Coturnix japonica: one gene and its partners. The main gene of each other region encodes a partner of the protein of the gene in region 5 in a complex. Links are inferred from orthologs where the notes say so. Each region holds a gene or a part of one and is shown on either strand. Other genes may lie near its edges.

Region 1 (4,456 bases), about 170 Mb from region 5:
TTGCTGTTGGACTCCTTTTCCTAATACATACAATGTTCGGTCTCTATTGAAGCTTTACCAATTTATATTTGTTTGTGTAGCTTTTATATTGCTCTAAAACAAATTAGATGGGAGAGATTTGGGGAAGAAATGCAAAACAGACAAAAACCAAGCAACTTATCTCTATTTTATATATGTGTACTTAACTTAAAGAGAAACGTCTGCAGAAATTCTCAGTGAGATACTGACAAAATGCCTCGAGCGTGAGGGGCAGAGAGAAAGCTGCCATGTAGACAAAAGGAGGAGTCCATGCAGCAGCTTTGCTGCAAGCTAAAATTCAGACATTAAATTAACAGGGACAGCCGGAGCACCACCCTGTCAATCACTGATTCATCCATGGCAGACAAATGTTAGTTTTCCAGATCACCTGGATTCTGCACTGAAAATCCGTTTTCCAAGTTAAAAAGCTGGTATAAGTTTTGAAATCAGCATTTTGTTTCAAGTCTGCCAGACAGCACACCAGGGTACCATCCCTCACAGCATCGAAAATGGATAGCGAGGAATATCCCAAGTCTGAGCTTGTACAAAGTGAGTATTATACTCAAAGCAGAACGTAAAGAATATCTCTGTAAAACCAGAATGTAAGCGGTGCTTCCTAATGCTAAGGATAGAGATTTAAGAAATCCTGCATCCAAGGTTATCAGTATCCAAGACAATCTCTTTCTTTTCTGCTCTTTTTTTTTCTTTTAGTATTAACAACTGAATGCACAATATAAGTTTAAGTGACAAAAAGTACAGCAAACCTTGAATTAGGGAAGTCATTTCTAATGGGATTTAAAATCAGATAACATGCAAATATGCTGGTTTCATTTTTTATATATTAAAGATATTCTCAAGATTAGGTGATATTGGAAAGAAGGAACTGTCCGTGGCTGATATAAACCAGTAAGAGCTACAGGAGAAGAAGCAGCTCAGTCCATTTGAAAGCCAGGTCTCCTCCATCTCAAGCTTAAAAATCAAAACAAAAGGTGATATTTGAATATTCAGAATATGCATTTAGACTACAGGTTGAAAACAATTTTCTTACTTCTGTCTAACTGGAGCATGAAGGCTGAGGTCTTCCTAATAGAGGATTTGGTAGCTCTACTGGTACACAAATGATGACTTATTCTAGGGTGGTCTGCTCCTCATTTATGGCCATCCAGTAACCTACAGACTTCTACAGGCTTTGAAACAGTAAACTTCTAGAAACTGTATTTGAATTTTATATGAAAGGCTGTTGGCCTCACTAGAGGAAATCCACAGAACAAAATTTGGGCATTGCAACAGAGCATACATTTGTTCTGCATTTTGCCACTGAGTGTAAGTCTTGGCTTTCCAAAGCGAAAAGTGAGTTGAGGAAAACCAGAAATCTCACGTAAAACCAAACCAACCCAATTCAAACCAAAATCAAGGCAAGATCTCATATTCCAAACTCACAAAATTGAGCTTCTATTCTTTTGCCTCCCAAAGAAGTAGGGTAATACCTGAAATTTCTGGGGTGCTTCTTACATTGAAGCAACAAACAACACTGGTTGTTTGTTTGTTTTAAAGTGTATGAAGTCTGTGGTCACATATCTTCTGTATCACATATGCTTCTCAGCAGCAAATTCAGGAATCCATGTGCACTTGTCAAACAATGATGCCATCTCAGCTCTTTTAAACAACTCACCTTTTCATGTTTATGTTTCTCTTTTTCTTTCTCCTTCCTCTCTCTTTCCTTCCTCTCCTTTTCCTTATCCTTCTTTTCCTTTTCTTTGTCTTTCTCCCTTTCTTTCTTTTTCTTCTTCTCTTTTTTGTCCTTCTTCTTCTCTTTTGGTTTTTCTTTGTCCTCAAACAACTTTTCAGGAAGCATAGGAGACAAGGAAGGTAACATGCTGGGAAGCCTCATGGCAGTTGGTGTGCTGAACAAGGGCAAAGACATTTCTTTGGGAGGTAACACAAGAGGTGCTGATGGGGGCTTTATCTTATCTTCCTTACTCTTATCTTTAACTTTCTCTTTGTCTTTCTTATCCTTGTCTTTTTTACCTTTCTCCTTCTCTTTCTTCTTATCTTTATGTTTTTCTTTCTCTTTTTTGGTATTGCCATCTTTCAACTTTACTTTTGTGTCAGCATCCTCAAAGTCTTTTAGTTTGAATTTATAGGGATCATGTTCATCATCTTTGAGAAGTTCCTTCCACTGAAACTTCGCCTCCTTGTTTCCTTCCTTGTCTTTATCCTTCTCTTTGTTTTTTTCCTTCTCTTTGTTTTTCTCCTTGTTTTTCTCTTTATCTTTTTCCTTCTGTTTCTCTTTCTTCTTCATTTTTGTCTTCAGCTCTTTCTTCAGTTTCTTTTTCACTTCTACAGAGGAAGCCAACTTGGTTTTCTCCTCATAGACTTTGAGAAGAGGTTCTGGAGTTGGCGGTGAAGCAGAAGGAGAAGAGAAGTAAGTGAAGTTTGCAGGTGGATTAGAAGGTGTCCCCATGTTTGCCTTTCGAATGACTTCATCAATTGAGTCATCCATTGTCCATGAAATGTCTGAACTCGAAGTCCCACCTGATGGAGGTATCGGAGTTGCTCCTGCCTTATTAGAACAATTAGCAGAAACAGAAGGTTTAGGAGTTGGAGTTGTAGTCTCTGAAACAGAAAGTCTTTTTGGACTGGTAAAAATTTCCCCTTCTGACTCAGAACCAGAGGAAAACTCAAAGGGATCGGGTTCTCGCTCAGCACACGCACGAGCAATCACAGCATCTATTGAATCATCAATAGTCTTGTCCATCACCGGTAATTTCTTAGTCTGGTTTTCAATATTTGGCTTGGTCACAGGCTCAGGTGGTGTCTGTCCTTGTTTTACTTGAATGTTTTCCTTTCCTATTTTGTCACTTAATGCAGCCAGAGGGGTTCTGCTTGGTGTTTCAGGTTTAACAGGTGGCGGGGGGACATGAACGGGAGCCTTTGGACTTTTGGGACTTTTGGGGCTCTTGGCGCGACCTGGTGACTTTTTTTCTTTGGATCCAGTTTTTGGTGAACGTATGGGACTTCCAGCAACCACTGGTGAGGGGGTAGTTTTAGGTGATTTTGTCTTTTGTCCTGGAGAACTTGATTTGGACTTTGTTTTGGGTGCAAGTGGCTTTGACTCTAATGTCTTGGGGGCTGGCACTTGTGGTTTTGCAATGGGAGCCAACATTGGTGGTTCTGGTGAAGGAGGGGCTAAGTCTGAACTGTCCTGAACATGAACTGGAGAAAGCATCGGAGGTACTTTTTGAGTATTTATTGAGCTAAGAGGCTCACGTGGTTCCAAAGCTCCATCCAGAGCGTCTCCTTTAGAAACAGACAGTTTTGGTCGTTTCATGGGTGGAAATTCTTCAGCATCAGGACTTTCTAATGTTCTCTTGCTCAAGTAATTTTCATCATTAATTGCCTCGTCCTCTTCCATATCTCCTTCTTCTTCCAGTGGCACCTGCATGGCCTCTGCAGATGTACCTCCATCTGTTGGTACTTGTTCCTCTTCCTCTTCTGTAACAAAGAGCATTTTAAATAAGCATTAGGGATAATTCAAAATGTGTTTTACAGAAACAAAAAAGTATCAAAAGTTCACATGCATTTTAGCTCTCATATGTTACCTCCTACATTAACTGTCCTTAAAACCACTTCATGCCAGTCTACTTGAAAGAAAAGTGAGGAGCTTCTTCTGGATCATAGCATCCACTATGTGTACATGTAAGTAAAATCCACTGGAATTAGCGGTCTTGTTTAAATATCGTAGAATTTTGATGGCGAATTAACTACTAGGAAGATGTCTTCCTAAACTGGATTTGTTTTTCTTGAAGTGGCTCAGCTAGAAGCCATGGACTGAATTTTGTTCAACCTGCTAGGTTCTGTTTCTGATTCACCTTAAGAGCTTGCTGTATGGTACACTAACTGTTACGATTACATGGGAGCACCCCTGTGTCAGCATGTATGTGTGCTGGTTTGGATCAGGAGCACAACTTTGAAATTCATCGCCCCATCACCCTGCTGTTTTTTTGCATCATTGAGCAATTCTGGAGAACATAAGCTGGATTCCTTCTTTACTGAAAGCGAAATGAAAGATACGCTGCCAAAAGAATACACCTAATGCTTGAGTTGCAAGTAGGCACTTAGGCTATGGGACCAAAAAAGCCAACTTTTTGAAAATAAAACAAATTCCGAAACATGAACGGTTATGAACATCAGGCACTATTTCAAGCCATCATGGACATCTCACGTATCGCTGCTCTGCTTTTGATAAATCATTTTGTTTTTCCGTTTCAATTTCTCAATTTTTCCTACATGTACCACCATCTTCAGTCTCACACGTGTCATATTATGGTGTAGAGAAGGGAGAAAATTCACTCAATATCTCCCAGAAAATCCATGGCAAGTTTGAGAATGAGAACCTCTGATCTCCTGAACCACAGCCAAGCACTTTATCCTCTTG
Region 2 (4,456 bases), on a different chromosome or scaffold from region 5:
TAATTGACAAAGAATCAGACGATGTCTTGGAGAGGATCATGGATGAGAAAACTGCAAGTGAGTTGAAGATTTTATACGGTCACAGTGGACCTGTCTATGGCACCAGCTTCAGTCCTGATAGGTAAAATAAAGTTTACAAGCTAATTAGTTCGCTTGTGTTGAATCTTAATAGTGTGCTATGAATGTGAACGTGTTTATAATGCGGCTTTTACCAGAAGATCAAAGTAACTCTTGTATCTTCTTTAAAATAAGAGATTTGAAAACATTATGTAAGCTACACAAGAGACAACCATCACAGAAATACAGCTGAGAAGTAAGCTTTGTGTGGAACATGATTATAGAATCTATATACAGCCTATAGTCTATATAGAGAGTCTATTCATAATTTGTTAATAATTAAGAAAAAGATTTCATACCGAGTTCACATTCAGGGAATCTTACCATATAGTTTAGAGTTGCATTAAGATTATTCTAAAGTAATATAGTGTAGCAATCTACTGCTTTTTCCCCCCGCATGTGAATGTAATTCTTAAGTGAAGACTAGTTCTTTTTTGCAGCCCCTCTGTATTGCTGTGTCATCAGAATTAATCATCAACATTCAAATGTCTCTTATGCTTGACAACCAAGGGTTCAGTTCTTCCCGAACAGTTTATTGTTGTTTACTTCAGTAAAATGCTGATTTTAATGGGAAATACTAAATAGTAGCTGCCCAGTGGAGAGTTCTATGTATCATAGAATTGTTACAGAGCTTATGCAATGACTACACAGTCTGTTAACTTGGTATGTAATGTACTATACTTTCTCCTGTGACAGGAACTACCTGTTGTCCTGTTCTGAGGATGGTACTGTCAGATTGTGGAGCCTCCAAACATTCACTTGTCTGGTGGGATATAAAGGACACAACTATCCAGTATGGGATACGCAGTTCTCTCCTTATGGGTATTATTTTGTGTCGGGGGGACATGACAGAGTGGCTAGGTAAGAAATTAGATGAGTTTTCTACATACCAGTTTTGTGGTGAATTAACTCAGAAAGTGATTATTGGCTGATATAGTTAATAACCTATTACTGGAAATAAATTTTATTACACACGAATTAAAATACTAAGCAACTATTTTAATATATGTTTGTTTTCCTTTTCAACACACATCAGAGACATCATCCTCCTATGTGGTCATTTCATGTTAGAAATATTTTCTCCTGTTGTTTAATAACCATGACAGAATGTCCTTTATTTCTCCCTTCCCAAAAGCATAGTTTTCCAGAATCGATCCTTCTAATTCAACAAATTTACCAGTAAGAAGCCACTCATTAATTATTTCTTTTATTACCGTGCAACAGATTCTGAACTTCATTAGTGCTCCCTTTATTAACAAAGCTTTTCTTTTCAGACTGTGGGCAACAGATCATTACCAGCCTTTACGGATATTTGCTGGCCACCTTGCTGATGTGACGTGTACTCGATTTCACCCTAACTCCAACTATATTGCCACTGGCTCAGCAGACAGGACTGTACGGCTGTGGGATGTTTTAAATGGGAATTGTGTAAGAATATTCACTGGACATAAGGTAAAGGCACATCACCAATGTGACTTAATTTCTGTGGTGTGATTCTGAAGAGTAGCATTCAGAACAAGTGCAGATTGACTAATTAGCTCGTTTGGCTTTCCTCACTGCAAATGTCTTTTGTAGGGTCCGATTCATTCATTGGCATTTTCTCCTAATGGACGATTCCTGGCTACTGGAGCAACAGATGGCAGAGTTCTGCTGTGGGATATTGGACATGGTTTGATGGTTGGAGAACTGAAAGGGCACACTGACACTATCTATGCGCTCCGATTCAGTAGAGATGGGGAGATCTTAGCATCAGGTAAAAGTCACTGGAAGCAAACATGTTTCCATTGTGCTCCATCTGTTTGAAGTGGGATTATGTAATGATAATGTACCTTAAGCTGAGTAAGGCTAATTAGAATCACTAAATCCTGAGTGAGCCGCTACCACAAGAGTGAATGGTTCCTTCAGCTGACCAGTGCTCCAATGAAAGCAGAGTCCACTGGGCCTGCAAAATACTGAGCTCTTCCCTCTATCAAAGGAAGTATCCAAGTGTCAAGAAAAAAGTCATTATGTGACTTAGAATCATAAACATCTGGTGGAGTTGGCATGTAGGCCTAAGGTTGTTTTGCCTTTTCAAGTGCTGGCTGATAGAATGGAAACCCAGCTGTTCTCAGAGGTGCTTCTTGGCACTTTATCTGCAGTGCATTCCTGTTAGATGGCAGGTGATGGCTTTTATTCCTGCTTTCACTGTGTTAAAGGCTTGTTTAAAAATGCTTCGTTGCAGGATGAGTGCTTAGTATTCAGTTATGAGCTGTTCTGCTTTGTGAGTTTTAATTCCTGTTGTGTTAATTTGCTGTCTAGCAAGGAAAAGACTTTTAAATGTTACTTTCCTTTTTTCCCTTGTAGGTTCAATGGATAACACAGTTCGGCTGTGGGATGCAGTGAAAGCATTTGAAGACTTAGAAACGGATGACTTTACTACAGCCACTGGACACATAAACTTGCCTGAAAACTCCCAGGACTTGTTACTGGGTACATACATGACCAAATCAACTCCAGTTGTACACCTTCATTTTACACGCAGGAACTTGCTGCTGGCTGCAGGAGCCTACAGTTCACAGTAGATCAGGAAGACGTAAGACTGGCTGTGCCAAGTTGTTGCAGCAGTGACCTCAGAATGTGAGATGAAGAGGAATGTCTTGTATGGGTGGACTTTGTTAGTCCATTGCAGGAAAAACAAAACTGTAAACTAACTCAAGTGACATCTTCTCTATTCTGCTCTCGTAATTCACATCTTTTGCTCTCACAGTTTGAAAATGCTGGAGACTGACAAGACAGTGTGAATTTAAAGGAATTGTTTCATGGTGCTTTTGATAAATGTATCCATATGTATATATATACATACATACATGTATATATATGACAATGGCTGTCTCCTCTCAGAGATGGTATTGAGCTCTGCTGAAACTTCTGGAAAGTTAACAGCCCTGGTCTGTGTTCTCAAATGAGTTTTTTTAAAGCACTTAATATATGGTTTGCTAATGTTTAATCAGTCTCAAACACAGGTGAAAACTTCAGACTCAGAAAAGGAGAATGTAGTTTAACTCACTATAGCCTGGGCTGGGCAACAGGAATGGTGAGAATATTATAGCAACAAATAGGGCATTGAAAGAATAAGCCCAACAGGCAGAGGCTTGTGGGGAACTGCAGAGAAGTTACGTGTAGTTTTTAAGTACCAAGTCCTGAAAAGATTTCAAACTTTGTGCTCTTTTGAGGTATTAGAAATGGAGATCTTGTTATTCTGTTCTGACAAGAAGCTGCTGCTGTGCGATAAGGAACGCAGATTGCAATGTGAATTCTTTGGAGACACGCATCACCCAATCTTAAAAACAATATTCTTAAGCCCCCACACGTTCTATTAGATTTGAAGAGCTTCAAAAACCTGCATCCTTTGAGAAAACAGTTTAACAGATCACACTAAAGCTAGTGAAGGATCAAGAAACTGAAATCTGAATTCAAGAAAAAGAAATCTGCTGGCTCTCTACTGAAGATGCAGAAAACCAAGACTTGACGTTTCCAAGGTAAACAAAGAACTACCTCCTGTCTCATCCTTTTTCTGACTAAGCCTTGGAGTAAAGAGGCATCGGGGCATTAAATGTCAAAGGAAAGGTGGAAAATTCATAAGGAAGCTAATCCAGAAACATTCTTTAAAGAGAAATGGTTAAAACTAAACTATGATGGATTTGATCTGTAAAGGTACATCAGAACTTCCTAGTAGTCAATACGATCAGCTGGACTTAAAATGGTAGTGAATCAAACAAGTTACCTAAAAGCATGTACAGCTTTGAGAGCTTGAAGAAAACACTGCTGCATTCTGCCTTTTTATTTTGTACAGTTTTATACTTTTGATAGTATAATAAATACTAAAACCACACAGCTTGTGTCTGTAGACTGTATGGTGGAAGAAGATGCTTTCTTTCCTTGACAGCTGCAGTGGATGTGAGAGCAATGCTTTTAAAAGCGAGTGCTCTGCTTGGAGAAACAAGGGAGTTAGTTCAACAGCTGATGATTTAACTAAGATTTAGTTCTAATTGTATGTGATACATTTTTGCCAAGCATTACAGTTACAACAACTATTGTTCCTCTGGAAGGACATAAAGGGCAGAGGCTGATGTAAACAGAATGGAAAGACTACATTTACTCAGAAGGATGGCTTTAATAATAAATTAAGGATGGAGATCACAAGAACCTCATGTAATTTCCCCTGACCTACACTCTTTCTGCCAGCACCCACATTTACCTGCTGCTATTAAGTTTGGGGTTTTTGAGAAAGTAAAATCGCTCCATGGTGGGATGTTCTCACTCAAAACCAAAGGATTTTATGCAAAAAACAGGCAACTGA
Region 3 (5,228 bases), on a different chromosome or scaffold from region 5:
ACTGGTTCTGTGAACCATGACAAGAAATTAAACTTGTTAACCTCCTTGCAGGCTCGTGCACTTTTTACCCCCCTTTCCTTCCTCACGTTCCTGACTGTATATGGATTCTAGGCAGCTCCGTACAACTGCCTTTGGGAGGAACAGCCAAATGATGACTTAAGAAACATCAGTTTTCAGTGTGTTCCCTTGCTGGTGGTAATGGAGCAATACATGCCGGAGGCGTGAAGCTCCTTGGACATGTTGGGGTTGGTTGAGACAGATCGCAGCGCGCTCTCCCTACTTTGAATCACACAAACACAATTACACAATGAGTATTTGCTGTCCCAGGGAGACTAAGAATATAGTAACAAGTTTAATGTACAAAAAAAAAAGATGCTTCTGTACAGAGACAACACTGCACCTGTGCCAGCAGAAGGGACGATGCTGGTGGGTAAATACACTTGAGGACGTTGCATGTTCCTTTCCCAGGCTGCTGGATCTGAGGACCCTGAGGCACCAGGCCAAGGATCTGCCTCCTCCTTGAGCCTGCACAGCACTAAGCTGACAAACTGGCCTTCAGCAGTTACTGCAGGAAACATCCCCGTGGATGCCTACATGAATGTCTGCACACAATGTGCTGCTGCTGGCAGGGAGTTTAATGGGAGCAACTGCAGGTTCTGCTGCAGCATTTCTCCCTGTCCTTCTGCCCCATGAGCCGTGCTGAGAACACTCATGGTAGTTTTGTAAACTGAAAGCAATCCACATAAGACCTCGATGCTTGAAGTTACTGAAATCCACGTTGAATTGAGCTTGCTTTGGTACAGCTTCCTTGGAGAAGACTGCAAGCGGGAGAGGGGAATGCTTCTGTCTCATAACTGTCATATGGTGCACAACCAAAGCTTGTTTGAACTTGTCTTCTCTTTGCTGATCCCAGGACACTTCAGTGGAAGATGATCTTTTTATATTTGGAATTCGGGATCTGTCCTCGTGACTTGAGCCTCCTCACAGCCTCCCGCATGTGTTTGGGCTGCAGAGGTGGCAGCTCCCCCCACTTCTCACACACATCCAGTGCTAAACAAAGGACAAGAGTTGACGTGAACAAGGACAGCTCAGCTCTGCCATTCTCCCAGCAGGAGACATTTGAAAAGCCTCCCACTGGTTGAACTTCAATTATAAAGTCAACAGGTAACAGTGTTCAAAGCTCATGTTTTATCTGTACAAAGGGATGAAACAGCTTTGGGTGTTTCTCTGAAGAAAAACTAGTCCTTGAGGCATCAATACCAGCTCAGAATCAGCTGCTTTGTAACCACGTCCCAGCTGCTATGGAATAGACTAAGTCATGCAAGAGCTTGAAAAGGCCTCATCATCTTAAACCTGCTACTTTAAAACCACTTCTAGCTTGTGAAGTATGTTTGGGGACTTGTGTGCAGCAGGGATAGGAGGAAGGAACCACCTACAGCTGACTTAAAGGGCAGTTCCTGTGCTTCACTTCTGTTAAGTATAATTCAGATCTCCTGCCAAGGACACGAAGCAATAAGTACAGCAGAGAAGCTGCTTATCCAGACTGCCTCTGGCAACACAGAGCTGCAGACACAGTCAAAGCAGCAGAAGTGCCAAAAGCTGCATCATCCTGGCTGATGGCAACCCCTGCAAGTCCAGGCTGTGTGTTTTGTGTGACAAGCCTGTACTAAGTGGCTGGCACAAAAAACAAGAATCTTTTCCTCCTCTGCATGAGCAGGGACACAACTGGGTCAGCGCTGCACAGTCTATCCCAAGGAGATCTCAGCTCACTGCATTAACAAAGAATCTTGCAGGCTAAGAGGCTTAAATAACGCATTTCCCTTCTAAGCTGAATTTGTCCACAGTAGCATTAATGAGATCTTTGCTGTAGCACTGCAGCCTGCTCATGTAGGGGCAAGAAGTCCCAAGTTTTAACAGTTGTCTTCTGCTGCTGCTGAAAGCAGGAGGGCCCTGCAGGGCACTGTCCAGGCTGCACACCTGGACAAGAAGCCACAAAAGTCCAGCTTTGTTTCATGTCTCTCTGCTTTAAGCGATGTGCTCTCTGTGTCCTTAACTTTTTACTGAACAATAATGTGATTTGCTCACCTTCCTCCACCACTTCCCCAACGAAGACCTTGGAAATGCCAGACATGGCAATAACCACATTCTGAGAGACAGAGGTGCCCGTGATGGACTGGATCAGCTGCACAAGCAAAGAACAGGCAGTCAGTCAAATGAGGTACATGCAGCAACACTGAAACACTTCAAATTATATTTAGTGATTGGAGCCAAATACTGAGCACCAGTGAACAAAATGAGCAGAAACAACAGTAACAGAGCTTTGGAATGAGCTCCTATAGCTTTGGGCACATGGTAGCTGTAACAATTTGAGATTAGTTTGATTCAGCTACAGATCAGTGCTAGCAATTATTTTGCATCGCTGTCCCCCCACAGCCATGTTGGGGAGGGGAGGTTGGGGGGGGGGTATTGTGGCCAGGCTGAGCCGTTTGCTTTGTGCTGAAGCACGAACTGAAGTCGTACCCGTTTGATGGCAGCCTTGGGGAAGGCAGAGCGGCGATACATCTCGTAGCGATTCAGCTGCTCCTCGGAAAAGGAGGAGACCAGGATCCTGGAAGGGAGAGGACGAATCACTCACAGAGCTGAACCACAAACGATGCTGATGCTGCTCATGGCCATTAACCCCGCCCTGCAGCGCAGCCCATTCCCCAGCACTCACTGCATCTTCTGGATCTCATCCTCGTCCACTTTGTGCTTCTTCTCCTTCCTCTCCTTCAGTTCCACCTTCACCTTCTTTGCCGCCTGTTGCAGGTTCGGATCCTCCCCGTCCATCCCGTCCCCGCTCCTCCCCTACGATACAACACACCGTTATGGACCGGCCCCGTTCTCTCCTCATCTCCCGGCCGACCCGGTGCTGAGCCCTCACCTCCCCATCCGCCGCCTCCGCCTTGAGCTCCTGGCCGGCTCCAGCCTCCATGTCCCCCTCTATAACCCCGTCCGTGGCCGTCGGTTCCTCCATGGTCCCATCCCCGCCGTGTGGTGATGTAGCGGTCGGTGCCGGTTCCCGCTCGGTGCCGCCCCCCCGCTCCTCCCGGCCCGGCTCACCGGGATCCGCCATTACGCCTCGTCTCTACGGTCGCCTGGTGATGACGTCACGCTACGGTGGCCGACAGGGGGCGCTGCTGTCGTTATGGCGACGGGGCTGAGCGCCGTGCGGCCTACAGAGCTGTGAGCTGCGTGTGGACCCGGCACAGCAGGGTGGGATCCACCCCATCTATAGCCGTGCTGACGGGCTCTACGCGTCATTTTGTATCAGTTCCATTTGATAATGAAGAGAAATGGGATGAGAATATAGATCCACCAGGGGCGGGGCCTACAGCAGACCAGGCCCACTTATTAGGCCGCGCCCACAATAGAGAACAAACGGCCCCTCAGGCCCCGCCCACTCGGCCTCAGGCCACGCCCCCTCAGCGTTCTTCCGGGGCGGGGCCTGGCGGGAGGCGGCGGCGTTGGCCGGGCCGGGCCATGGGGAAGGAGCAGGAGCTGCTGGAGGCCGCACGAACCGGGAACCTGCCCGCTGTGGAGAAACTGCTGTCGGGAAAACGGCTGAGCTCAGGGTTCGGCTCCGGGGGAAGCGGAGGAGGGAGCGGAGGAGGATCCGGGGGCGGTGGAGGTGGTGGAAGCGGCGGTGGAGGAGGTGGAGGAGGAGGTGGAGGAGTGGGACACCCGCTGTCCAGTCTGCTGAGGTGAGTGGGGGGCAATGAGGGGGATGGGGGCTATGAGGGGTGGGCCCATGGAGCTGGGGAGCTGTGGTTAGAGGTGGGTACAGGGCTGAGGCTGTGGGGTGAGGAGGATGGGGAAGGTTGTGGGGTGAGGGCTGTGGGGTAGGAGCCCCCCACAGGGGGTAGTTTGGGGCTGGGAGCTGTGGGTGAAAGCTGAGGGGAGAGTAGGGCTGTGGGGGATGCAGTGTGTGAAGTTTGTAGGCTCTCAAGGTGAGCATTGATTTATAGGAGCTGTGGGGTGCATGGGGTTGGGGTGCTGTAGGGCTGTGGAGAAGGATTGAAGGTGTGTGGACTTGAAGTTGGGGTGCTGGGAGACTTGGACTGTGCTGCTTGAGGTGAGGTGTGGGTGTAGGGGTTGTGGGGTTGATAGGGGTGCGTTGTTGAGGACACAAGATGTGTGGGGATAGTGGGTTTGTAATGATGAGCTGGGATTTTGGGGCTTCTGAGACTGGCTGTTGGTGTGCTTGGGGTGAGGAAGGGATTGTGGTACAGGGGATGCTGTGGGTTGGAATCTGTGCTTGGGTGGAATGTATGGGTGGGAGGGCTGTGGGACAGGGGCTGTCCGAGCTCCCATGGCATGGTGTGGGATGGAGCCCAGTGGGATATGAATGTATCTGTACTGTAAATGGAGAACTGCTGCCCCTGGGGTCTGGGCCTGTGTGTGTCAAAAGGAGTGCATGAAGGGGATGGGATGAGGCACTGTGGTGGGTTGCATGGACTGTGGGGTACATGGGGTGTGTGAGGGTTGCCGAGGTTGTGGTGCTGCAGGGGTTGGGAGCAGAGTCCCTGGGGGTTCTGTGCCCCAAGGTGGGGCTGTAAGGTTGGAGAGCAGTGCAGCAGGGCTGGGTGCTGCCCCATGATGGCTTTGGCTCTGCCTGCTCCCTGGGCTGCTGCAGGTGCTGCTGCTTGTGGTTGGTTGCAGCAGACTGGTGTAACTGGGAAGACGTGTGTTTGGAAGAGCAGGACTCCGGGTCAGTGTGCCAGCAGGGGCTGGTGACTGTGCATGTGTTTCCTCTGGTCGTGGGTGAATTCACAGGCTGGATGTGCAGCTGGGTGTTGAGCAAGGTGTCCTCTCACTGTGTGTGCTCTGTACGTGCTCACCCTCAATAATTTCCATTGCTTGCAGCGATGCTGCTCCACCACAGCTCAGCCTGACAGTGGCTGGCAGCTCAGGGTCAGCTTCACGGGCACCCAGAAGGAGGGCACGCTCCTTTGCTGTTGCATTTAAAGGACCATGCTGTGCAATTCACTCTGTTTTGAAGCTTTTACGTGTTAGTATTTTCTCCTCCCCCTTTTTTTTTCTCCCATCCGGTATCTCCTAAAGAAGCCACTTGCTGCTGCGTTTCTTATGTTGCAGCTTTTTTGCAGTTCCAGCTCTATTCTGTTCCCTGAGCAAGTAGTTTGGGGGTAGGATGGGAGGATTTGAGCCCATTTCTGAGCTGTGCCATC
Region 4 (5,214 bases), about 99 Mb from region 5:
TACCTCATACACTGAGTTCTATTAACAAAGGAGTAATGATCTTATTTTTGTAAACATTTTTGTTGTTCTTTTTTATGGAACAGTGTTCAAAACAGATGAGTAATCTGTATCCTTTTTACCCAGCCTTGTCCAGGGACAGCAGCTTGGAGTTACTTCCTACTCAGTGCCTTTTCTCTCCTGTCCTGAAAAGGTGTTAACCAAATCCTGCTGCTTTGGAAACAGGGCAAAGCACAGTTGGAGCCCGCAAGAGTAAACTTATCTGTGAACAAGTCCCCCAGTGTCCTGAAGTCTTTTCAAGTGTGCAGTTTTTGCCTGCTTGGCAATGTGTAGCTATTCCAGCACATACTTATTCCTTGCTCTAACATTATTTCACAAGCTTAGTGCTTTCCATCGAGCTCTTATTTGTAATTACCCGGTGATCCTAATCTTGTGAAAAAAGTTCTTTGAATTAAGTCAGATCAGTTTTATAGTGGAGCATCTGCCCAACAGGGGCAAGGCAAGGATCTGAGTGCAACTAAATCTGGAACAGGTTAATTTCAGTTCTCTAAGTGTACAGTAAAAACAGGAGAGCTGTGTCTACTAGGACAGAAACAGCACTTAGAGCTCATGAGATGCTACAATAGCCAACAATTTTTATGTGCCCTGCGTTAACTGATCAGTGTACGTGTAGTTACGAAGAGTGGGCACAGACTCGAGTTGCTTTATTCAAGTTTATGTACAGAGCAGAATTTGTAATAGTTTGGGCTTGACAACTTTGTCCAGTTAACCAACATCTATTTTCCAGGTTTCCTGTCAACAAAATACCTCGACATAACCAAAGTAGAGAAGAGCTTGTCATGGGCCTTGTAGATTCCCAATTCAGCTGTCCTACTGCAGACTTCTCACCTTTAAAATATCTTTAGAGCTCATTTCTCAAATTCCCATAATGGTATAAAAACACGTTAGGAGCGCCATGTGTAATCAGTTAACATCTAGCTGTTTGAATGCCTACCACAAGAGGCTGAGAGGCAGAGCAGATAGCAGCAATGATCTCCAGCTCAAATAACCCCTCAAAGCAACACACATGACATTTCTTCCTCTTGAGCAACAGGAGCCCACAGCACGCTCCAGTCAAGCCTGTACACAGAATCAAGATCCATAGTTTGCTTCATCAAAGGCCTTTCTGGCACGTTTCAGTTCTTCATTCATAGTCAGAAGGTCTTTAACTCTGGCAAACTTCCGGGGGTCCTTGCGGATTAGGAAGACAATGTCCTCAACCTGTACACGGCCCTGCCGTCCAATTGACATGGCTTTGTGTGTCTGCAAGAGAGAAACATCAGTGTTCCTCTGCCCCTTTTAGTTTTGTTTTCAGATCTCAATCCTACTGTATTTACTGACATTTTAAACAGTCTAGAAGGCAGCAAGTGCAGGATCTGGGCATTGCCATCCAAGTGCAGTACCTCATATACACTGGGTACCACTGCACACACAACAGGAATGTCTTTGGAACTGAAGGCAGACTGGGGAGGGGACACCTGATCTGCAAAGTGCTTGAGGAGCAACAGCATCAAGCAGAATCTGCATGCAGTATGCAATACCTGCATCAGAGGACAGTTTTTTTCTATTGAGAATAGGCAAGGCTAACTTCTCATGAGAAGGGATCCACAAACAATACCACTTTTCTTATTCTTTTTTTTTAACATAAGTGCTCAAGTTGTATCCAAATGTCTGGATCAGCAGTGGCTTTAGGGCCCAGATGGCTGCATTTATTTTATGGTGTGGCATTTCCATCTGTGTAAAGGCACTGAGAGAACACAAGAAGCACATAACATTTCAAAGCTGAGCCATCTGTCAGCAGAACACACAGCGATGCCACTGGGTGCCTCAAAGTCAGCTATGGATTTTTTCCCCTAACTGTTACTTAAAGCCTCCGAACGTTGCCCTAAATCCATGTGGAGTAAAATGTGTTAATTCTATCTTAATATCGGAAGGGCAATCACAGAATCACAGAATGACCCGGGTTGGAAGAGACCTCAAGGATCATGTAGTTCCAACCCGCCTGCCTGGCAGGGCCACCAAACATACACCTTTACTAGATCAGGTTGCCCAGGGCCCCATCCAACCTGGCCTTGAACACCTCCAAGGACGGGGCATCCACAAGCTCCCTGGGCAGCCTGTTCCAGGGCCTAACCACTCTCCTAGTGAAGAACTTCCCCCTAACATCCAACCTCTTATATCTGAGTTTAGATTTCTTCCCAGCAGCACACGAGTTTTTGCCTGGGATAATGCTGAAGGAATTTCATTGAAGCAGAGGGAGCCAAAGCATGCTCCCTACACCAGGTTGCACAGGTAGGAGTCCGAGTGGGTCTTGAACAGCTCCAGGGAAAGAGACTCCATAATCACTCTGGGCAGCCTGTTCCAGTGCTCCGTCACCCTCTCCATGTAGAAGCTCCTGCACACATTTGTGTGGCTCCATGCTCCAGTTTGTGGCCATTTCCCCTTGTCATATTGCCACATGCCGCTGAAAAGAGTCTGGCCTCATCCCTTTGCCTCCCACACCTTAGATATTCACAGACATTGATCAGATCCCCTCTCAGTCTTCTTTTCTCAAGGCTAACAGACCCGTGTTTGGCACACCACTGACTTACCATTTCAGTGATAAATTCTATCACCAGGTCCTCAAGAATATCCACAGATTCCGTGTAAGGGTTCTGGTCATCTCCAAATCCGTACATCATGCATCTTACTGCGGGAATACACACAGCGTGAGGCCTCCATCTGCTCAATGCATCAGTAACGCTCCCACCCTGAGCTCCCCCCCCAACCTGGACTCACGTTCTTTAGAGAAAAGCCTCTTCCTCTTGCCCTGCCCGCCGTCCAAACCGCCGCCGGCTTCCTCGGAGTCCTCCTCGAACTGAAGGAACAAAGCGGAGGAAGGAAGCCGTTAAACGGGGAGCTCCCTCCCGCCCCGAGGCTGAACGCAAACAACCCATCCCCGCCGCTCACCGGCGCGTCCTCCTCCTCGTCCGCCATGGCCGCCACAGCCCGCTACCGCTTCCGGTTTCCCGTTCCCGCCTCCCCTGGGGGCCGCCATCTTGTTGTGCCGTGTCTATAGCACCCAGGCTGTTTCCCACCCCTCACTCATCTAGTGTGAGAAATGCCTTGGGAACTTAGGCTATTCAAAAGATTTTTTCCTTAGGAAGACGAAGGAGAGGAAGAAAAAGGTGCAGCTGAGGTACAGGCACTGGAGAAACAAAACTTTACTGGACAGCAGAGTCAAGAAGAATCTATGGAGCACTTGCTTAATTCGATTTTATTTATTGCCACATCTGTCACAGAGCTTCCAAATCTTGCACATAACAAACTGAGGCCTTGAAGATAACAGCTTGGACTACACTGATGCTTTTGAAAGACACTGGTTTTAAGATACAAACACACAATTATTCCCAAAACATTGACTTGAGTGTTTTCCACCTCTCTAGATCCTACTGTATTTATTTCTAGAATCAGACACTCACAGGCCAGTTTGCTTTGGTGCATTTTGGGATTAGAAGCAAAACGGTAGCATGACATGCTTGATCTCTGCTTACATGTAGAAACTGGAGATCCACATCTCCCTGCTGGTTTCTTCATCCTGCCACTTCCTACATATCTGCTGGAAACAAACTTCAAGCCTAATCTGAGAGTTACAGGACATTCCTTAACGTAACAAACAGTAGAAACACCACCTTCAAGCCTCAGAGTGGGTTATGAAAGAATCACTTTTCCTTGAGATATAAACATTTAATGTAAGTTAACCTCAGCAACTGTATACGCAGAATTGGCAGTCTTAAGACAGGACAAGATGTGTGCCAGAGTGTGACACAGGCACTTTATTAGCTTTGGTCTAAATTGCTGTGTACAACTACTGCTATTTAATGGCAGTCCTTTTTGTACATTCTGTACCAGATGTGGTTTCCCTTTGACCTTAGCCAGGTACAGTGGCTGCAGGACCTCTGTGTTGTGCTTCAGCTCCCAGGGCAGGACAGATGTAGGTAATGGACCCATCTCTGGTAACTGAGCTGAGCGCAGCTGCAGAACTCACGTGGGATTTAAAACAGAAGGTTCATGCAACACTGAGTGATGATCAAGTGCAGGAGGAGAGAGTTCTGCTAGGTGTTGTTCATTCATCACCACTGTTTCAAGCCAACAGCCAACCAGGAGGCAGATCCCATAAAGTAGGTTTCCTTTTCCACATCTGCCCGTAACAGGGACAACCAGATGTAGACAAGCAAGGCATGCCATGCTATCACGCTGAACCTACGGAATGCACAATGCAGAGGAGTTACAATAGTGAAAAAAATACAAGTTTCCAAAAAGCTTTTTGCAAACAAAGCATTGACTGTTTTCACTCTGGACAGCCTTAGAGCAGGCAGGGTGCCCATACGCTCATTTAAACTGCTAGGTGTCATTCAACTCAACAAAGCAAGTACCTGGCTTCTCTCTGGAGGTTCTCTGATTATTTCTTTTCCCTCCCTTGACACAAACACATAGGTTTTGTGTAGTACCCAGGATTCATTCACAGTGATTAAGAAGTTTATTAAACAAAAAGCTCGCCTTTACAAACATTACTTTAGCCAAAAATTTATAAAAGTTTATCCAAAAATAATTGTGGTGCTTCAGGTTCTTACAACAACAATCCAGACCTCTGGTTTTGGTACCTTTTGTTCCAGATGAGCTGAGCAGATCAGGAGCCAGACTTCTCAACTGGACTCTACACTAGGCAGGTTTCCAGTAACATGGGCTACAAAACACCTTAGCAAGTGGACTCCCGAAAACTCCACAGAACTGTGGAAACAAAGGTATGATGTTCAGTGCTTGATGCTACAGTATCTTGAAGCAAGACAAGCAAACTCAACCACTTAAATTACATCCCCACATTGCAATACAACATTAATAGAGTAAGCACTTCTAATGTAATCAATTATAGCTAACACAGTTCCAGGTGAAGGTAGGTTGGTCAGTGCAAATCATCATCTACAAGGCACAGCAGCAAGAAAAAAAAAGAGCATTACCTGACCAGGAATAGCTGAGGAAAGCATCCCTGGGTTTTCTCCTTTACAAACTCCTGGATCCCCAGAACATTCTTTAACAACAGTCCCCTGGAAGCTCGGTCAATTTTTGTTAACACCATCTGTGTGGATCCAGAAAGAAAAGATTGCGAGAGGAAAAGATGATTTTGGTGCTAGCCTGGAA
Region 5 (5,231 bases):
GCAGCATCCAACCGAGCTCTGCACCCACGGGCAGGGGCAGGAGGGTCAGAGCCGCTGCTGGGGCAGCACAGTGACCCCGATCCGCCCTGGAACTGCTGCTTTGTGCCCGCAGGGCGGCACGAGAGCCAGGAGCCGTTCCTGGCGTGGCTGCTGCTGCTCAGCAACATGTCGGCGCTGCCCTGGGTGCACTCGGTCAGCTACGGGGACGACGAGGACAGCCTGTCTCAGGCCTATCTGCAGCGGGTCAACGTGGAGTTCATGAAGGCGGCCGCCCGCGGCCTCACCGTGCTGTTCGCTTCGGGTGCGTGAGCTGCGGGGCCGGGGGCGTCCCGCTGCCCAGCGCTCCGGGCGCCCCCATCACTCGTGGCTGCCCGCAGGTGATGACGGTGCCGGGTGCCGGAGGGTGCCGGGGGGGAACCACACGTTCCGGCCCAGCTTCCCGGCCTCGAGGTAACGGCGGCCCCGGGCTCCTCGTGGCTGCGGGGCGGTGTGAGCCCCGGGGGGGGGTCGGGTTTGGGGGGGTCCGCAGCACCTGCCCGTCCTCAGCCCCTACGTGACCACGGTGGGCGGCACGTCCTTCAAGAACCCGTTCCTGGTGACGGAGGAGGTGACGGATTACATCAGCGGCGGCGGCTTCAGCAACGTCTTCCCCATGCCCGACTACCAGGTGCGGCCGGGGGCGGAGGGGCCGCGGGGGGGGCTCCCCGGTGCCGGCGCTGATCGGGCTGATGGAGCTGATGGAGCTGCCTCCCCCAGGCCGATGCGGTGCGGAGTTTCCTGCGCTCCGCCCCGAAGCTGCCGCCCGGCTCCTACTACAACAGCAGCGGCCGCGCTTACCCCGACCTGGCCGCGCTGTCGGACAATTACTGGGTGGTGACCAACCGGCTGCCGCTGCCCTGGGTGTCGGGCACGTCGGTGAGCGCGGGGCGGCGGGGCGCGGCTCGGGGCCGTCGGGTCCCGGTTCGGTGCCGTCGGGTCGCGATTCAGTGCCGTCGGGTCCCGGTTCGGTGCCGTCGGGTCGCGGTTCGGTGCCGTCGGGTCCCGTTCCGGTGCCGTCGGGTCCCGGTTCGGTGCCGTCGGGTCCCGTTCCGGTGCCGTCGTGTCGGTGCGCTCCGCCCGGCGCTGAGCCGTGTCCCCCGTTGCCCCGTTCGTTCCAGGCCTCGACGCCGGTGGTGGCGGGGCTGCTGGCGCTGATCAATGACCGCCGCCTGCAGGGCGGGCAGCCGCCGCTCGGCTTCATCAACCCCGCGTTGTACCGGCTGCGGGAGCGCGGACACGGCGCGGCGCTGTTCGACGTGAGCGGGGCGGGGGGCGGGGGGGGGTCCCGGGGGGTGCGGGGCGGGTCCGGTCCCAGCCGGGCTGTTCGGTCCCGTCCGGTCCGGTCGGGTTTTGCTGACCCCGCCCCGTCCCCAGGTGACCGTCGGCTGCCACGTGTCGTGTCTGGACGCTGCGGTTCAGGGCCGCGGTTTTTGCGCCGTTCCCGGTTGGGACGCGGTGACCGGGTGGGGGACGCCCAACTTCCCGCAGCTGCTGCGCGCGCTCACGGCGCCGTGACGCCAATAAAGGCCGCGATACGAACCGTGTGTGCGGGACCGACGGGACGGGCGGCCAATGGGGAGCGGGGACGGGAGCGGGGCGGCCAATGGGCAGCGGGAGGGGGCGGGGCCGAGGGGGCGTCGCGTCGCGCGCAGGCGCGTTGCGGAGCGGCCGGAGCCGTCGGGGGGGGCGACATGAGCTGCAGCAACGAGAGCGACCCCGGCACCGCGGTGCCCGCAGCGCCCGCAGCGCCCGGGACCACCGGGACCACCGGGGACAACAAGCACAGCCCGGCCGCGGGCGGCAGCGGCGTCCCCGGGGCGCCACCCAGTGCGGCAGGAGGAGCGGCCAGGGGAGCGGACGGGGGAGCGGCGGCGGGGAGGGGACCCGGTGAGTGCGGGGAGGGGAGAGCGGGACCGGGCCGTGATGGACCAGGCCGGGCTGGACCGGGCCGTGCGGTGCCGGGCCGTGATGTGCCAGGCCGTGAGGGACCGGACCGGGCCGTGCTGTACCGGGCCTGCCTGTGCTGTGCCGTGCTTTGCAGTGCCATACCGTGCGGTGCCGGGCCGTGCCGTGCTGTGCGGTACCGTGCGGTGCCGTGAGTCCCGCTGAGCGCCTCCTCCCGTAGCTCCCGTGTCGGCCGCGGCGCCGCCCGAAGGAGCGATGTCCAACGGCGTTTACGTGCCGCCCGGCGCCGCCAACGGGGAGGTGAAGCCGGTGGTGTCGGGGACGCCGCTCGTGGATTTCCTGCTGCAGCTGGAGGATTACACGCCCACGGTACGAGCGGCGCGGGGCGGGCGCTGAGGGCGGGCACCGGCACCGGGCACCGAGTGCTGAGCACCGGGCGCTGAGCGCGGCTCTCCCTGCAGATCCCGGACGCCGTCACCGGGTATTACCTGAACAGAGCGGGATTCGAGGCCTCCGACCCGCGCATGTGAGTGTAAAGGGCGGCCGGGGGGGGGGGGTGCGGAACGACCCCCGGTGCCGTATCCCCGCCCACCCGCCCGTTGTTGTGCCCGCAGCATCCGGCTGATCTCGTTGGCCGCACAGAAATTCATCTCTGACATCGCCAACGACGCGCTGCAGCACTGCAAGATGAAGGGAACGGCCTCGGGGAGCTCCCGCAACAAGAGCAAGGTGGGTGTGATGGGGGGCACTGCCAGGCATTGACCTGGGTCACAGAGTCACAGCGTGGCCTGGGTTGCACAGAACCACAGTGCTCATCCATCCCAACCCCCTGCTGTGTGCAGGGTCACCAACCAGCAGCCCAGGCTGCCCAGAGCCACATCCAGCCTGGCCTTGAATGCCTGCAGGGATGGGGCATCCACAGCCTCCTTGGGCAACCTGTGCCAGTGCGTCACCACCCTCTGGGGGAAAAACTTCCTCCTCAGATCCAACCTAAACCTCCCCTGTCTCACTTTCAAACCATTCCCCCTTGTCCTATCACTGCCCACCCTCACAAACAGCCGTTCCCCCTCCTGTTTATTCGCTCCCTTCAAGTACTGGATGCCCACAATGAGGTCTCCCCGCAGCCTTCTCTTCTCCAACCCAAACCAGCCCAGTTCCCTCATCCTTTCCTCATATCAGAGCTGCTCCAGCCCCTCTGCTCATCTCAGTGGCCTCCTCTGGACCCTCCAAGAGCTCCATGTCCTTCCTGTGCTGGAGGCCCCAGGCCTGGACTCAGCACTGAGATATGAGCTCACAAGAGCTGAGTAGAAGAGGACAATCCCCTCCCTGTCCCTGCTGGCCGCCCCTTTAAATGCAGCCCAGCACACAGTTGCCTTCCAGGCTGCAGGCACACACTGCTGCCTCATATCCAGCTTCTCACCCCCCAAGTCCTCTGCAGGGCTGCTCTCAAGGAGACTTTCCCCCAGTCTGTACACACACCTGGTGTTGCCCCAACCCAATGCATCACCCTGCACTTGTCCTTATTGAACCTCATGGGAGGCTGATGTGTGCTGACTAAATGGGAGGGAGCGTGGTGGGCAGGAGGTGGGCAGTGCTGTGTATGGAGATACTGCAGGGCCACCCAGCCCTGATGGCACCAAACTAACGCTGAGGGAAAAAGATAAAGGGAGGAAGCGTGTAGAAATAGCTTCTGGAATCCACACAGCCCCAATTGTGGCTTAGGGGCAGTGCAATAGATGCGCTGAGTAATGCTCAGTGCGTTTCTCTGCTGTGGAGGGCAAAGAGCAGATGCAGCTTTCAGGCACTTGGTGCTGGTTAATGCCCAGCCACTGGGCATCACACACACATGGACTGCTCCAATGAGGGTCAAAACCCCAACCAAGGGCTGAAGGCACGAGGTGTCTGTGCTGTGTTTGTGTGCTATGAGTGCTGTGTCTGTGCTGTGTTTGTGCTACAAGTGATGTATCTGTGCTGTGTCTGTGTGCTATGAGTGATGTATCTATCTGTGCTGTGTCTGTGCTGTGAGTGATGCTGCCCTTTGTCCCCAGGACAAGAAATACACTCTGACCATGGAGGACCTGACGCCCGCCCTGGCGGAATACGGCATCAATGTGAAGAAGCCGCACTACTTCACGTGAAAGCAGGGCTCGTTGCTGGGGACTTTTCTAGGGTTTGCTTCTGCTCCATTAAACCAATGGGTAGTTTTTTTTCTGGTGGAAAGACCCCCCGTTTCCTGCCGCCCTCCTGCTGTCAGTGCAGCAGCAGCATTTGGCCCACGGAGTTCTGCTCTGCCAGCACCAACAGAAGGTGATGGCTGAGGGCTGCACAGCAGGGAACTGCAGCTGCATCTCCTGGAGGGCTCAGCCTGCCCTGAGCTGCTGCAGGGCTGTGGGCATCGTGCAAACAGAAGCGCCCAGCTTCCTCTGTGCTTTCTTTCCCTGTAGCATGTCTCGTAAGAGGAAGGTTCTGGGGCTGTGACGGCTGCTGCAGCTGCAGCCAGGCTCCTCTGCCTCGCTCTGGGTTTGGCACAGAGCAGCTCCAGCGCCCAGGGCTCCATGTGCCAAGGGCAGCCCTTCTCCCAGCAGCCTATTGAGGTATCAACGCACCCTTCGGCCCGTGGCCAGTTTTCATAACAAATATTTATTTCAGATGCTGGCGGCTTTTCCACGTGGCCTGGATGGAAATGATAAAAAGTGAAGCGCGAAGCTGGGGTGGTGCTGGGCACAAAAAGGCAACTTTCCCCTGCTGTCCTTAGCAGGGAAGAGCACCAGGACTGGACACTGTCAGCATGAGACCAAGTGGGAGAGCTGCCCTGGGCCTGGGAGCATGACGTGGCTTCAGGGCGGCAGAGCCCCACCACGCTCAGTGGCTGCATCCAGGTGTCCTGCTCAGTCTGCCCACAGCTGCCAGGGAGGGTGGAGGTGCTGCCATAGATCGGTGCTACAGAGCCCGAAGCCCACAGAGCGGCTCCAGGGAAGGCAGCATCGCCTGTACCGTGTGTCCATGGCTGGCTCAGGGTGAGGGGGCAGCCCCTGCTCCCCCTTAGCTCTGGGGTTAAAGGCACTTGGAAGTGGTGGGGAAGGGAGCATGGCAGCGGCGGACATCGGGGAGGCACCTCCCTCTACTTGTCCTGCATCTTCTCTAGGATGGGCACGATCATGTCGAACTTGGGGCGCTTGGCTGGGTCCTCGTTCATGCAGATCTTCATCAGCTTGCAGATGTGTGGGGAGATGCCGGGGGGGATGGTTGGACGGAGCCCCTCCAGGGCCACCTGGGAGCGGGCAGAG
Region 6 (4,456 bases), on a different chromosome or scaffold from region 5:
TTTATTTATTTTCCCCACTTTTTTTTTTTTTTTTTTTTTTTTTTTAGAGGCACACAGGTCTCTCAAAGAAGATGAATCCTGACTGGCTACAATATCATGACTCAAATCCCACCACCTTAAAAATACCCAAACTATTGTATGCTGTGAGGCATTTACCATTCCTAGGGCTTTGCCAGCCCCTATTCTCAAGCTGTTAATTAACACCAATACGTATAAAGAGATATCTATCATGCTCTGCAGGTTATCTAGCTGGTCAGAATCCTGTAGAAAAATAACTACATCATCCTAATAGTAGAACTACCTCCATCAGATTTTTAGCATCTCTGCCACCACATGAACATGCAGCATCCTCAGAGCTTAATTTTCAGAAAAACCCAACAAGTCAGATTACACTATTTCCACAATCTTAACAGCTTCACATAACTCGAGAACACCTGCCCGAGGCCAATGTGATCAACTCCCAACATCAGTTGTGCACACATAAAATTCCAATCTTACAATAAAGATTGAACACATGCAGCCAATTTAATTCTGAATGCTAGCCACAGCAATTGAAGTTGCACAAAAACTTACAGTATGAAACCAAAGCAACTAAACCTAAGTCATTTTAACAGACTGAGGTCATATTCTTGGTGCAGTCCCACCCATGATCTGTTATGCATTTATACTATACGCTCATCTCAGAATCCATTCCTAGAGTGTGTGCTATGTAAAAAGTGGAGCATTTATTTTAAAAGCAAACAAACAAAACAAGAAAGCAAACAACCAATGACAGACATACAAACTAAATAATGAACATTGTCCAGACTTTTTTTGGTGTCAAATTAGTTACAAAAAAACAACTGGAAATCAATATAGGCTTGTCGCTGTGTTTATTTTCCTGACATCTCACACTTATCTCTGAAGGATTTTTACAAATCTTCTTACCCTTCCAGATATCACGAATTTAGATATTAACCAGCTGCCTTTCCTGCAGAGTTCTTTTACAATATTCCATCTAATACTGTGCTTACCCTTTTTGCTGACAGCATTAAGTTTATCAGATGTTTCCAGGCTTTTGTGTTCTTCTTGAGATACATTCTTTTGAACTACACATTACTCCTATTACATTCACATCTAAAACTCGCATTTTACTTGGCTGCTCTATGGTTTAGATTACCTCATTTTCAATTATACAATTCTATTCTGGCTTCCTTCTCTTCTGAAAAGTTTATCACTGTTTTTAGTTTTTGACTAAACAATCTTTTAAACTACAAACAGGGTGTAAAACACAAAGCATATAATGGGATAGCAATCAAATATTAACACAGGAAAACACACATTCAAGATACTTCAAGCAAGCTACACAAGAATCAGTCGAAAATTATAAAGGTATATTTTTCACCCCATTTCATTTAGGGTTATCTATCTCTTCTATAAACAAAGAACTTAGGCAAAACTTCCTTTCACTCTGTCAGTAATTATCACAGCACAACAGCCCTACACATCTGAAGGCACTTGCCTCTACATCTTAGTAAGACAGTTAAGCAGTGGCCATACATAGTCTGAAGCTGAACAGCATCCTTACAGAATTTTAAACCAAAAAAGTATACAAAGTAATTGAAAATAAATAAATACACAAACTCCACACTCTCCACTGAAACAGTCTGGGGTAGAAAAGCACAGTATCCTGTCAATCCATATTAAAATAGAGTAAAATGTAGTCAAAACACAGACAAAACTTTAAGTGCAGACCAATCACATCCAGAAGTGAATCAAAGGAATCAAATCCTTCTTCCAAATAAAGTGTACTACAGAAATTTAAGTACTGTGAATTCTGGCACAGAAAGTGCTTTGCTTTTTCTTTTCTAATTTCTAGTAAAATCTAGTGATCACATAAATCCATTCACTGTGCTGGAATATCACAGTGACTCACAGAGGGAACAATGTCATTTACTAAGTCAATGGCACACATTCCAAACCAATTTCTGTCTTCGAGAAACATGTTTGTCAAAGAACTGATAATGTATGAGATGAGATGACAGAGGAGAATGAAACACACACACAAAAGCAAGGTGAAACCAAGCCAGACATACCTGAGTTGTTGTTAGACGAAAAACTGGGCCGCCTGTGGGCACTGAAAGTCGAGGCGAAATGCTGGTAGGACCTTGTCCCTGTGTCTGTACTTGAGCCTGCATTTGTGCCTGGGCTAGAGCCTGCTGAGGCACCATCACAAGTTGTCCAGCATCTGTGCGCACCAAGACCATACCTAGTGAGAATAAAGTGACAACAACTGTAAAGAATAACATGACAAATCATAAAGAATTGCATTTTTCATAAGAATCATAAAGAATCACATATTTCATAAAGAACTATGAAATACAGAATAAAATCAACAATAGCATTGTCCCGTTTGGAGAATTAAAGTTGAAATAAATAGTCATTAAAGTAAACTCTAACAACGGTCTAGTTGCTGAGAACAACATTTAGTTTGAACATACCAGGGACAATGACAAGAAAGCTCTACTAAAACAACAGCATTAGGGAATGTGTAGATGCAAATATTAAGCCAGACACATTCCTGAGTATACAATATTTGAGATCTAGTTAATGTTTCAGCACTGACACATTAATTTATTTGGCACCTACCATCACTGTACCAGGAGGTTTGGGCGTGAAGAAAAAACACTGTCACACCCAGAGACCCAACGCAACTAGGAGCATGGGGATCTAAGGAAAATCCCAAGGAATTGTTCTAAATGAACACAGTACTTTCTGGATGTAAATGAAAATACTTTTGTTTTCTCATAATACACTTCACAAATAAAAGCCTCTCTACACATCCAGACTTTCCCTTATTGTAACTGTCCTGCTTTTCCATTATCAGCAGGTCAAAAAGGAGCTTCCAATGGCTCAGCTGGCCCCTGGGTCACCTGGATCTTTACGCTTAATTCAAGATCACTACAAGCACATAATGTGCTTTTTCTAGATCAGTCAGAACTAAGAAGCCATTATCCAGATACGTTATTTAAAAAGAATTTCCAAGTTAGTCTCCGAATACATTCCAATCTAACTTAGATGCAAGTAGGATACATGATACTGTCAAGAAGGAACAGGTCTTTCAGGGTCTAGGAAATCTCTTTCAGTCTGTTAATAACAGAGCCAGGAGACATTGTTCCTGCAACTTGTCTATATGTGTAGATTTCTTCATGCACATTTGATAACTTTGCAATGGAAAATAAAGAAGGTAAAAACGTATACTCACTTCTAAGTATCAGCTTCCCAGAAACAAACAAACAAACAACCTCGGTAAATAGATTTTGAAACATATTGAGCACTATTATATCCAGCAAGTAACCAAATTCAGAAGCAGTCTTTACATTTATTTCAGTCTCTGACACAGAACCACAGAGCCCAGTCTCATGATGAACACAACTGAATTGCAGCTGCAATAGAAGCCCTCACTCACCAGCTCACAAAAATCACAAACAGAAAACACATTTCTGCCACTATGAACGGAAGAGCTGTGGGAACTGAGCTGTAACGCCAAAAGCACACAGAGCTACTGTGAGGATCTCATCCAAAGGATACATCACATCTCCCTCAAAGCCTGATGAAGTTTTAAAAGAAGAGTTCAACAACAGATCTTAAAACAGGAACTTTCTGGGTGCATCAGCCCTTCTGGCACCAGACCTAATGGTCTGTAGAAACCCCACAGGCAGATGCTGCATTGGATATCTGCTGTTCTGGACAAACCAATATTAATACACTGCCCCAATGTGCAGAACAGACACCATTCCTCTGAGTGTCATTAACCTAATAGAAAAATCCTTATAGGATAAAGCCTAGCACATATTAAAAAAAAAAAAAAAAACACGTTCTATTGGCATTACACCAATTCACATCTGTCTTGTTAATTACTTTTCCAACCTTGTAAAATTCAATCTGAATTTTTAAAAAAATTAATAAATGAACAGAATGTACAAATTAATTGCAACAGGAGCCACATGGTTTCAATAAAAGTTGCAGATATAACTGCTTCTACAGACACAAAGATGTTCGTGCAGCAATTTTATATTTTAATCCAGCTTTAAGGACTTGAAAACTATTTTGCAGCACGTAGGAAGTGATCAGATCCTCGGAACTGAGTTAAACATGGAGATTAATTTTTCCTTATTGTCAGCCACGAAAAGATCCAACTCATAAGCCAGTATGAAGTGCTAGAACTGGTTATTATATGCTTAATATAGTAATACTTGCTAAAATAAACTCATTCTAAACTTCTGCATTAGGCAGAAGATCACAGTACAGGAGTTTCAATATCAGTTAATAATGATGTACAAACTTAAGAGTAATTAATCAAAAATAACAGTGTATTTTCTGAATTACTCTCATCCTTAGAACATGCTATCCTCCCGTTAATGCAATTTAATGGATTCCAAGCTATCTAGTAATAAAATTAAATTCAAGTGAAACA

Evidence for each region.
Region 1: TAF10 (region 5) and TAF3 share a complex: the UniProt entries of both Homo sapiens proteins name them as parts of the TFIID basal transcription factor complex. The link is inferred for Coturnix japonica from reciprocal best matches to the Homo sapiens genes TAF10 and TAF3.
Region 2: TAF10 (region 5) and TAF5 share a complex: the UniProt entries of both Homo sapiens proteins name them as parts of the TFIID basal transcription factor complex. The link is inferred for Coturnix japonica from reciprocal best matches to the Homo sapiens genes TAF10 and TAF5.
Region 3: TAF10 (region 5) and TAF11 share a complex: the UniProt entries of both Homo sapiens proteins name them as parts of the TFIID basal transcription factor complex. The link is inferred for Coturnix japonica from reciprocal best matches to the Homo sapiens genes TAF10 and TAF11.
Region 4: TAF10 (region 5) and TAF13 share a complex: the UniProt entries of both Homo sapiens proteins name them as parts of the TFIID basal transcription factor complex. The link is inferred for Coturnix japonica from reciprocal best matches to the Homo sapiens genes TAF10 and TAF13.
Region 6: TAF10 (region 5) and transcription initiation factor TFIID subunit 4-like share a complex: the UniProt entries of both Homo sapiens proteins name them as parts of the TFIID basal transcription factor complex. The link is inferred for Coturnix japonica from reciprocal best matches to the Homo sapiens genes TAF10 and TAF4.

The regions. Positions count from the first base shown.
Region 1 is NC_029516.1:3,777,670-3,782,125, reverse strand, and holds part of TAF3 (transcription initiation factor TFIID subunit 3), read right to left. Parts: intron 3,514-4,456; coding exon 1,691-3,513; intron 1-1,690. UniProt on the Homo sapiens protein: The TFIID basal transcription factor complex plays a major role in the initiation of RNA polymerase II (Pol II)-dependent transcription.
Region 2 is NC_029521.1:20,669,321-20,673,776, forward strand, and holds the end of TAF5 (transcription initiation factor TFIID subunit 5), read left to right. Parts: coding exon 1-121; intron 122-813; coding exon 814-978; intron 979-1,391; coding exon 1,392-1,569; intron 1,570-1,692; coding exon 1,693-1,870; intron 1,871-2,460; coding exon 2,461-2,678; 3' UTR 2,679-3,991; downstream 3,992-4,456. UniProt on the Homo sapiens protein: The TFIID basal transcription factor complex plays a major role in the initiation of RNA polymerase II (Pol II)-dependent transcription.
Region 3 is NC_029541.1:4,152,112-4,157,339, reverse strand, and holds TAF11 (transcription initiation factor TFIID subunit 11), read right to left. Parts: upstream 3,229-5,228; 5' UTR 3,116-3,228; coding exon 2,924-3,115; intron 2,848-2,923; coding exon 2,717-2,847; intron 2,609-2,716; coding exon 2,521-2,608; intron 2,183-2,520; coding exon 2,086-2,182; intron 1,051-2,085; coding exon 920-1,050; 3' UTR 313-919; downstream 1-312. Other genes in the region: ANKS1A (ankyrin repeat and SAM domain-containing protein 1A), read left to right, coding at 3,523-3,743. UniProt on the Homo sapiens protein: The TFIID basal transcription factor complex plays a major role in the initiation of RNA polymerase II (Pol II)-dependent transcription.
Region 4 is NC_029516.1:74,708,711-74,713,924, forward strand, and holds TAF13 (transcription initiation factor TFIID subunit 13), read right to left. Parts: upstream 3,119-5,214; 5' UTR 3,013-3,118; coding exon 2,986-3,012; intron 2,894-2,985; coding exon 2,815-2,893; intron 2,726-2,814; coding exon 2,628-2,725; intron 1,300-2,627; coding exon 1,129-1,299; 3' UTR 681-1,128; downstream 1-680. Other genes in the region: GTPBP8 (GTP-binding protein 8), read right to left, coding at 4,722-4,806, 5,034-5,152. UniProt on the Homo sapiens protein: The TFIID basal transcription factor complex plays a major role in the initiation of RNA polymerase II (Pol II)-dependent transcription.
Region 5 is NC_029516.1:173,985,639-173,990,869, forward strand, and holds TAF10 (transcription initiation factor TFIID subunit 10), read left to right. Parts: upstream 1-1,687; 5' UTR 1,688-1,730; coding exon 1,731-1,926; intron 1,927-2,164; coding exon 2,165-2,313; intron 2,314-2,405; coding exon 2,406-2,470; intron 2,471-2,558; coding exon 2,559-2,673; intron 2,674-3,992; coding exon 3,993-4,082; 3' UTR 4,083-4,160; downstream 4,161-5,231. Other genes in the region: TPP1 (tripeptidyl-peptidase 1), read left to right, coding at 113-301, 378-450, 547-667, 757-915, 1,158-1,295, 1,414-1,554; ILK (integrin-linked protein kinase), read right to left, coding at 5,066-5,215. UniProt on the Homo sapiens protein: The TFIID basal transcription factor complex plays a major role in the initiation of RNA polymerase II (Pol II)-dependent transcription.
Region 6 is NC_029526.1:9,439,541-9,443,996, forward strand, and holds part of transcription initiation factor TFIID subunit 4-like, read right to left. Parts: intron 2,249-4,456; coding exon 2,076-2,248; intron 1-2,075. UniProt on the Homo sapiens protein: The TFIID basal transcription factor complex plays a major role in the initiation of RNA polymerase II (Pol II)-dependent transcription.